Oryza sativa Japonica Group: one gene and its partner. The protein of the gene in region 2 binds, or shares a complex with, the protein of the main gene of each other region. Links are inferred from orthologs where the notes say so. Each region holds a gene or a part of one and is shown on either strand. Other genes may lie near its edges. The genes, in order: protein TIC 40, chloroplastic; protein TIC110, chloroplastic.

Region 1 (4,400 bases), on a different chromosome or scaffold from region 2:
TTGCTTTCGGTGCACAGACACATGACAATACAAAACATGCTAAACCTGAAAAGTTAGACGAGAAAGTTCAAGATGCTAAAACTAGCAAGGTTGGTGCTGAAGTATCCGATCGCTCTCCTAAGCACAAAAGGGACTCCGGTGAAGGAGCAGAGACGGCCAATGAAAGTAGAAGTGTGGAAGAACCTGCTACAACTCAATCAAGGGATTCAGCTGCTGCTAGATCTACCGAGAAAAATGCAGATGTTTCCTTGGATGCTCCTCAGACCCAGACACCAGAAAATACCCAACCAGCTCCTCAGACCCAGAATCCACAGAATACTCAACCAGCACAGATCACGGATGAACACTATAAGAGAAATGCTGATGCACTTGCTGCTGCCAGAGAAAGAGCTCTGGCGCGGAAGAAAGCCAAAGCGCAGCAGATATGAAGTACGAGGCAGAGATACTCACCGAGTTTTTTCTTATAGGCTAAGGTCATCATATTCTTGTTTGAGGTTTCGGGAAGACTGTAAAATGATGGATGGTTTCACCCTTCTAGCATTTCCAGGAGATAATCCCCTTGGTTTGATCTGCATGATGCTCTACCTTGCTTGATCAAAATATATGTGCAGGCAACCCTTCAACGTTAGAATATCTCGTTCGGCTTTTCTGAACATTTGTTCTGCTGTAAGATGGGAAATAACTTAGCACAGTGAACTGAAGGTTGTATGCATATGTTCTCATTCATGTATACCGTTGTACTTTTGTAACTTGAGTGATTGAACGCGATATGATTTCTGCAATGGCACAAATTACTACTACTAGTTACACTCCATTCCATGGTGAACGGGATTACTTTAATTTTCTCTCTTCTCTCAAATTCAGAACCAAAACATTGAACTTTGTCAGTTAATAACAAGGCATAAAAGTTGTTTATTCGACTTTACTGGATTTCCCTTTTCATTTTTTGAACTGGCCCGAATTGCATTTTGAGATATTCGAATTTTGAAACATCGCATCTTAATTAGTAGTAGTATTATTTTTTTTCATCAGTGGTTAAATGTTGCTGTCTGCAATTAGTGCCTGAAATGAGCCGCTGACAGTCTGAAACTCTGAATGTCCCGATAGCGATGGATACTAGCCCCACGCAGCGGAAGGCGATGACTCCCCTCCGTTTCAGCTTCCTATCACTCACCGCAGGGGTAAAAGGGGGAACGTAGCCTACACAACACGAGCCCGAGGTCTCTCGTCGACTCACGCGCGCACCCACCCACCCAAAACCCTAGCGCGAGTGGGGAGGGGCGAGGGGGTGGTAGTTGTAGTAGCAGCAGCAGTAGAGCTAAGCTAGGGTTTTCCCTCCCCCCGCGCGCGCAGCAGGCGGCATGGAGAGCCTGGTCCTCGCCTCCTCCTGCTCCGCTTCTCCCCGCCTGCCTCCCCTCTCCGCGGCCCGCCGCCGCCGCCCCTCCTCGCAGACTCTCCCGGCGACGGCTGCGGCGTCCGGGCGGAGGGGAGCTGGGAGGTCCAAGCTCGTCGTCGTCGCCGCCGCCGCCGCCGCGGCCCGCGGGTCCGGGAACGGTGAGGGGGGTGGTGTGCTTCTGTGTGGGTGTGCTTCCGTTTTAGGTTTGTTCGTTAGATGCGAGCCGGATGCGCTCTTTGGGTAGGTGCGCGCTGAAAGCTCTCGTATGCGCTCGCTTCAAGTGTCCGTGCTATAGTGTTTTTTTTTGTGGGATTGTCAGGAATTTTATTATACTCTGTGTATCAGCTGGATCCATCGCTGTGCCATGGGCTTCGTTAGTGGAATTGAGTGTGTTATCCTTGCGAATTTAGTGACCTTAAGTCATGCATCCGTGATGGAATACTGTCTTTATTTTCGTAGTATGGTGGCAGTTGGTGAGTTAGTAATGGCCACCTTATCCAGTATTGGTAGTGTGGCAAATGATGAGTACAAAATGGTCAGCATATCTGTCCTTGTTTGTAGTAATAGCCGACGAATAGACAATCCCAATCAGCTTAGGATTTCCCCCATTTTAATCTTATGCTGCCGGAGGATCTCCATTATTCTGATTGTTTAGTTGTAACAACAGGTTTCGAGGGATTAAAGACAAATGGATTTGCAAGCATGTCGTCTTCGACCAACAGTGAGAATATGTCAACTGGAACGGGTTCCCTACCTCCCATGCCACCCCCATCGTCATACATGTGCGCCAGTTTCCCTTCTTTTGTCTGGCTACAATTTTCTCAACTTACACTGCATGATGACATGTAAATCCTTTGTGCAGCGGTTCGCCTGTTTTCTGGATTGGAGTTGGTGTAGCATTGTCCGCAGCATTTTCTATGGTGTGAATACAATTACCTGTAATGCTTTTTTGTGATTAAATGTTCTTAGAGTTGTATTTTAATACTTGGTGTTGGCTGTTATATCAGGTCTCTTCGATGGTAAAGGTGAGTTCACAACTTTCCTCTGTTTCTACATCTTCAAATGGTATGTACCCTATCAATTGCATACTTGATCTTGAGAATGACCCATGGTCACCTCTGCATACTAGTACATAAGCAAGAGAGGTATTTTAGTGAGCTTTTTTTGTGATGAACCTACATACCCACATGTGAGCCATGCCTTCCTTTCTAGTTCTTAATAGTTTGAAGCAATGCATGGCATATGTTCTAGCAAAGGTGGTACTGTTGCAGTGTACTCCCTCCGTACTCGTAAAGGAAGATGTTAGGACAATGTTTAAGTCAAACCTTGGGAATATAAATCATGAATAACTCTCAAGTTGTTGAGTTTGAAAATGTAAAAATTATATGAATAGATTTGTCTTGAAAAATACTTTCATAAAAGTATACATATATCACTTTTCAATAAATATTTTTATAGAAACAAGAAGTCAAAGTTGTGTTTTGGAGACCGTGTCGCTGTCCAGAACGACTTCCTTTACGAGTACAGAGGGAGTATTGTAGTTTTGTTAGACAATTCATTTTCTTATCACATAATTTCTAGTTCTTTTCAATATTGATAAAATAGCATAATATCCATGCATTGTGATGGATGTCAAAACAATTTGGTGTACTCCCTCCGATTCCATAATTCTTGACGTTTTGGACAAGGTTGAGGTCAAATTTTTATAACTTTGACTACCAATAACTTTAAAAATATTTAGTTTAAAGGTACTAGAACAGCATATTTAGATTTGTCTTATAAAGTACAATAATAAAAGTAAAAATATATATATTTATTATATATTATAATAGAAAAACATAGTCAAAGATATATTTTGAAGACCGTGTCATTGTCCAAAACATCAAGAATTATGGAGCCGGAGGGAGTACTCACTAAGATCAAATTTTTTTATATATAAAAGACTAAAGGAAGTCCTCTAATGTAAATTCTGCATGTAAAATATGATCATATCACCTCACCCAGCTTCAAAATATTGGCATGTAAAATAGTGCAATATTTTACAAAAAAAACCTATAAGTAACACACATGTATACATAAATTCACCCATAAAAGATCCAAAGTGAGGATGATACAGCATCATCACTTCCACTAGTTCTTTTAATTACTAGAGAGTTAACATTGTTGCACCACTTCTTTTCTCGAAAGTATATCGTGATGTATCCATTGTTGCACTGATTTAATTAATACAATGTTCTCTTTGTAGGTTTGATCTGTATAATGTCTTGTTGGAACTTAAAATCGTATAACTCTCCCTTGCTTGCCAGTTTTGACACATTGCTAATTCTGATGCAGAAATATGCAATGCAACAAGCATTCAAGTCAATGATGACCCAGGCACCGCCAAACACTTTTGGCTCAAACTCGCCTTTCCCATTTGCCATGCCACCACAGGCAGCTCCTGCAGCTCCTAGCAGTTACCCATACTCACAACCAAGGAAAGATACCTCTCCTCAATCTGCAACTGTCGATGTTTCAGCTACTAAAGTGGAAGCAACTGGAACTTTGGAAGAGGCTGATGTGGCTGAACAGCCAAAGAAGAAATTTGGTATTGGCCGTTTATCTCTGAGAATTCTTCTCCAACTATCAGTGAATAGGGGATGGAGCTTGTGATTAGTGTCTAATCTTATGTTTTCTTCATACTTTTGTCATGCATATCTCATGTTATTGTAACAAAATGTTTGCAGCCTTTGTTGACGTTTCTCCTGAAGAGTTGCAGCAAAAGGAACTTCAATCTTCACTGGAGACAGTGGATGTAAAAAGTGAGAGTAAACAGAGTGAAACTATGGAGGATACTGAGCAAAAAGTAAGTTGCATGAAGAAGCTTTGTAATAGGCTCCAAGTACAATTCAACTAATCATTTTCAATGATCTTCATAGGCTCCAACAAATGGAACTGCTTTTAAGATGAATGAAGGTTCTGCTAGCGGGACAACTGAATCTAGTAAGTACTATTATCATTAGCA
Region 2 (4,447 bases):
CCCAAAGACAAGATTTGATACATATATGAGTTTTTGAAATGCCTGCAAAATATTTACAATAGTTATCATCAGGGGCAGTAGAAAGTTTTAAACATCCATTTATGTATCACAGCACAAAAACGTACCCGCCGCTGTTCCATGTCGGCATCCCGGTCCCTTGTTTCCAGCCTTTCTCTGTATATGCGCCTACCAATCTATACAAGCAAAGTCGAAGGCATAAGGAGTAATGGAGGAAATGTGAAAATGGCACTAAAGTAGGAAGAACGTCTCAGGCAAGTAAGATATAAAGGGGCTTGGATCATGAGGCAATACCTCCATGTGCATATTTGCAGCATCTACATCATCGAGCCCAAGAGCATTTTTAAATTTTATAATGGTCTGAACCTCATCACCTTTGAGATCTTCATCTCCTGGAGGAAGTACTGAGTAAAGAAACCTGGAAATAAAATGGAGGTAAGATGGAGCAAAGACACTTCCTATATACACTGCATGACCAAAACAATAAGATGCAACCAATAAATGGTAGATTTTTAAAGATTGATTTTAGAAGAATCTAGTTTAGCTACTGAGTAATGTACAAGAGCTTGCCAAAAGAAGCAACTACGTCTGAGCACATACATACAAAACTGTGGTATGTGAAATGTGATTGGAACAAAATATATATATATACTATATATAGGACACTCATATGGGGCACCATGGTGCCCGGGCACCATGGTATCTAATGTACAAAATCACTCAAATTTTTCAAAATTTTCAAATTGTGAGTATATACCTAGTTATAATAATTCGATTCATATCTATACCTATCAACAAAACAACTCAAATTTAACTTTATTTCACAATCCATGATTACATACCTAACTAATTATATGTATGGATGCTATATACCTAGAATCAAAATCTAACAAAAACAAGTTCAAATTCAGTACAAACATGCTTTGAACTAGTTAGTAAAGTAGTTAATGTTAATACCTAAGTAATTGAAAAAGTTTCATACTCATTTGAATTGGGTATATACTCAATTTCAACAATGGTGCCCGGGCACCATGGAGCACCAAACAAATTTACTATATATATATATATATATATATATATATATATATATATATATATATATATATATATATATATATATATATATATATATATATATATATATATATATATATATATATATATATATATATATATATATATATATATATATATATATATCGAGATGTCCGCATTGATAGATTGGCAATAAAAATGATATTAGTAAATATTATTTTACGTAATATTTTAGCTGTTCTTTGTATATTTCAAGGTATATAATAATATAAATTACTGGATGTAATGGTTGAAGCTCAAATTGCATATCGACAACTAAAAACTGCAAAATAACACCATACTTTGGGACGGGTGAATATTAAGAGAAGAGAGGGGAAACATCCAAGAACAAATACTTGTGTCTAGGAGAAAACAATAGCTATAATAAGGGCACTTGAGCCAAATTCAACACATAGAACACAACAGAATTAGTGTCATAAATACAGTTAGGCTTAGAGGCCATTTCCGTATGGACATTCTTTACCAACATTCAAATAAAGCATTGGAAACAACTGGACAACAGGTGCCAAGAGGATCACCTGGCATACAAATCACAGAGCTCTGCTTTGAAGGCTGCGTCCTGTGTACTAACTCCATATCTGAAACAAAATAAACAGGTAAGACTTTTTGCTTCTGTGTGTGTGGGTGGGGGCAATGTTACATTGAGCACTGCTGCACATACTTAAAAATTCTTACACAAAATGATATCAGCTGTTTGATTTAACTAGATAGGAGTTATAGGAAATGTAGATGAACTCATAACATGACACATTAGTGTAAAGAGAGTTTAATAAGAAAAATGTAGTACGTATAGCCTTTTCCTTAAACATTTTAGTGCAAAAATATAACTATATGTCCCATCCCTAAAGGTAATTTTAGCCGATCAAATGTATTATCGAAATAATTATAGGTTCCTTATTCGCTGAAACAAGCTACACCAAAATTTTACTAGCATTCCGAAAACAAATGGGAGCTTCAAAAATAAATGAGTAAATGCTAGGAGGGCGCATAAATTGGAAGGAAAATACAGATCACATTGCAGGGTGGGAGTCAAGACATCTGATATATAATCGAATCGAGCATACGGGCCATACGGCCAATGCAGCACACCTACAATATAGTCGAGCAATCGAGACGACTCACTTGGTCGCGAGGGCCTCCACCTCGCCGCTCTCCAGCTTGGTGGGGTCGTCGCATCCGGCGACGTAGTTGTGCAGCCCGACGGCGGCGACCTCCGGCACGACGGAGTTCACCGCGGCGGCCCCGGCGACGCTGGCCGCCCCGAGCACCGCGGCGCCCGCGACCGCCACGGCCCTCGACCCCCCACCCGCGCGGAGCCCGATGCCGTACCCCGCCGCCACCGCCGCCGCGGCCACCGCCAGCTCCGCCGCCGTCCTCGCCGCGGGCGGCAGCGCCTCCACCAGCGGCTGCACCCCCGCCAGCTCCCTCCTCGGCCCGAACACCTCCTCCCCCGCCCCCACCGCCGCGCGGCACAGCAGCCTCAGCCCGCGCCTCCCAGCGCGGAGCCTCGCCCCCACGGAGGAAGAGGAGGCGCGGGGTCTCCGGGGAGGGAAGCGGAGGAGGGGGAGGGGCTTGAGCGGCGCGAAGAGGAGGGGCGCGGGCGCGGGCGAGGGCGAGGGCTTCGCGGAGGCCAGGGCGAGCTCCATGGTCGTTGTCGTGGGATGATGGATCCCCTGCCGCCTCGGTGTTCGCGGGCGGCTACTCCACCGTCGTGGTGGTGGTGGTCCTCGTCGGCGGCGGCGGCGAAGGGTGGCGACGGGTGGTGGGGGGGAGGAGGTGGTGGTGGATGAGGCGGAAGAGGCGAGGTGGAGGAGGAGGAGATGGGATAGCGTTACGAGGCGGGGATTGGTGAGGTCGGGGCAGGGGCGGCTGGACCAAAGGGAAGGGTTGGGGTTGGGTGGGCGCCTGCGACCAGCGGTAGACGTGCGGTGCACCGGGAGAGCGGGTTGTCGCCAGGTGATGGCGTCCGGTGTATCGTATACTGTATGCATGCATTGCATCTCACATGAACAGGGCTACACAAGTATACTGGTTGTTGGTATTGGTATTGTGGAATGCGTTTCTCCCACGAAAAATAAATAGGAACCATCCAAATTATTCAGTTGTTATACTTCCTCCGTTTCACTAACATCTATATGAATGTGGGCAATGCTAGAAAGTCTTATAACCTGAAACGGAGGGAGTATTTTTTAGACGGATCACCGAGGAATGAATTGCTCACATAAATATATTACATCAAATGAACTTACACGGAATAAATAGAGTGAATACATGGGAGTCACCCCAAAAGACACGTGAGACACACTAAAAGAAATACGAGAGAGAGAGAGAGAGGAGGTGTGTGATGTTTTCCACCAATAAGACCACGAAACCAAACTCCTAGTCAGGATTACTCGGTTACTTATACTTCTAAAATTGTATTGATGGTTGTTTTATGCGATTATCTTCTTCTTCTTAGAAGGAGGTAATTATGATTGTCAATATTGGGCACTAGCTTGTTAGACTACGGTGAAAACAAAGGGGAGCAGAAGGTTACATACTGTCAATCTCTACAATAAAGTCATTAAGGGTGAGAAAAATATAATAGTGTGAAAGTAAATTCATCATACGAGATGAAAAATAATATGTAAACAATAACGCATCTGGAGGGACAAGCGGGAACGACGGAGGTGGTGGTGGTGAGAGAGAGTTTAGCTTGCACATCTATAAATGGTGGCCTGTGAATAATATGGTGATTTCTAGGAGAGATAAATAGTGGTAAATACGTATTGTATATGGGGTTTATTTCGATCACAATTAGACGTATGTTAGATGAGTTTATCCTATGTCGTACATGAGCAATCATTCATATGATGGCTACTTATTACACGTCATTCTCAACATTCAAATGTTACAGTAGTATTTGAAACATTTGGTTAAAAGATGTGAAATTTAATAGAAAAATTAGGCTCGCAATTATGACCTCTCACACACGATGTTGAATGGGATGTATATATATAGATGTCGTGCATAGCATTGCTTTTCTACAATTTGTTTTGTTCTCAGAAGTCATTTTCGATGTCTATTATAAGTGTCCATAACACATTTCATGTGATTGCGATATTTCTGTGATTTTGTGGTCATCCGTCAAGCTTTTCTCCACTCCTGAAGTGACCCTATTTTTCCTACTACCTAGAAGAGATGATTTGTAATTTTATACTCCATATATTTTATTACTATCACTTTACAAGTGTTGCATTAAATACTTAAATATATAACACTATGCACAAATGTAAGCACAATTTTTAGTGCTTTTGTTATAACAAAGATAAAATTCATATCGTTGGAGATTATT

What was found.
Region 1: protein TIC110, chloroplastic (region 2) and protein TIC 40, chloroplastic share a complex: the UniProt entries of both Arabidopsis thaliana proteins name them as parts of the tic complex. The link is inferred for Oryza sativa Japonica Group from reciprocal best matches to the Arabidopsis thaliana genes TIC110 and TIC40.

What each region holds. Positions count from the first base shown.
Region 1 is NC_089038.1:22,289,733-22,294,132, reverse strand, and holds the start of protein TIC 40, chloroplastic, read left to right. Parts: upstream 1-1,282; 5' UTR 1,283-1,361; coding exon 1,362-1,554; intron 1,555-2,063; coding exon 2,064-2,178; intron 2,179-2,258; coding exon 2,259-2,316; intron 2,317-2,403; coding exon 2,404-2,421; intron 2,422-3,730; coding exon 3,731-3,983; intron 3,984-4,122; coding exon 4,123-4,241; intron 4,242-4,314; coding exon 4,315-4,378; intron 4,379-4,400. Other genes in the region: uncharacterized protein, read left to right, coding at 1-428. UniProt on the Arabidopsis thaliana protein: Involved in protein precursor import into chloroplasts. Part of the motor complex consisting of a co-chaperone (TIC40) and a chaperone (HSP93) associated with the import channel (TIC110).
Region 2 is NC_089044.1:19,363,830-19,368,276, forward strand, and holds the start of protein TIC110, chloroplastic, read right to left. Parts: upstream 2,964-4,447; 5' UTR 2,760-2,963; coding exon 2,236-2,759; intron 1,692-2,235; coding exon 1,632-1,691; intron 437-1,631; coding exon 313-436; intron 195-312; coding exon 126-194; intron 43-125; coding exon 1-42. UniProt on the Arabidopsis thaliana protein: Involved in protein precursor import into chloroplasts. Forms a voltage-dependent cation-selective channel at the inner envelope of chloroplasts, which specifically responds to a transit peptide.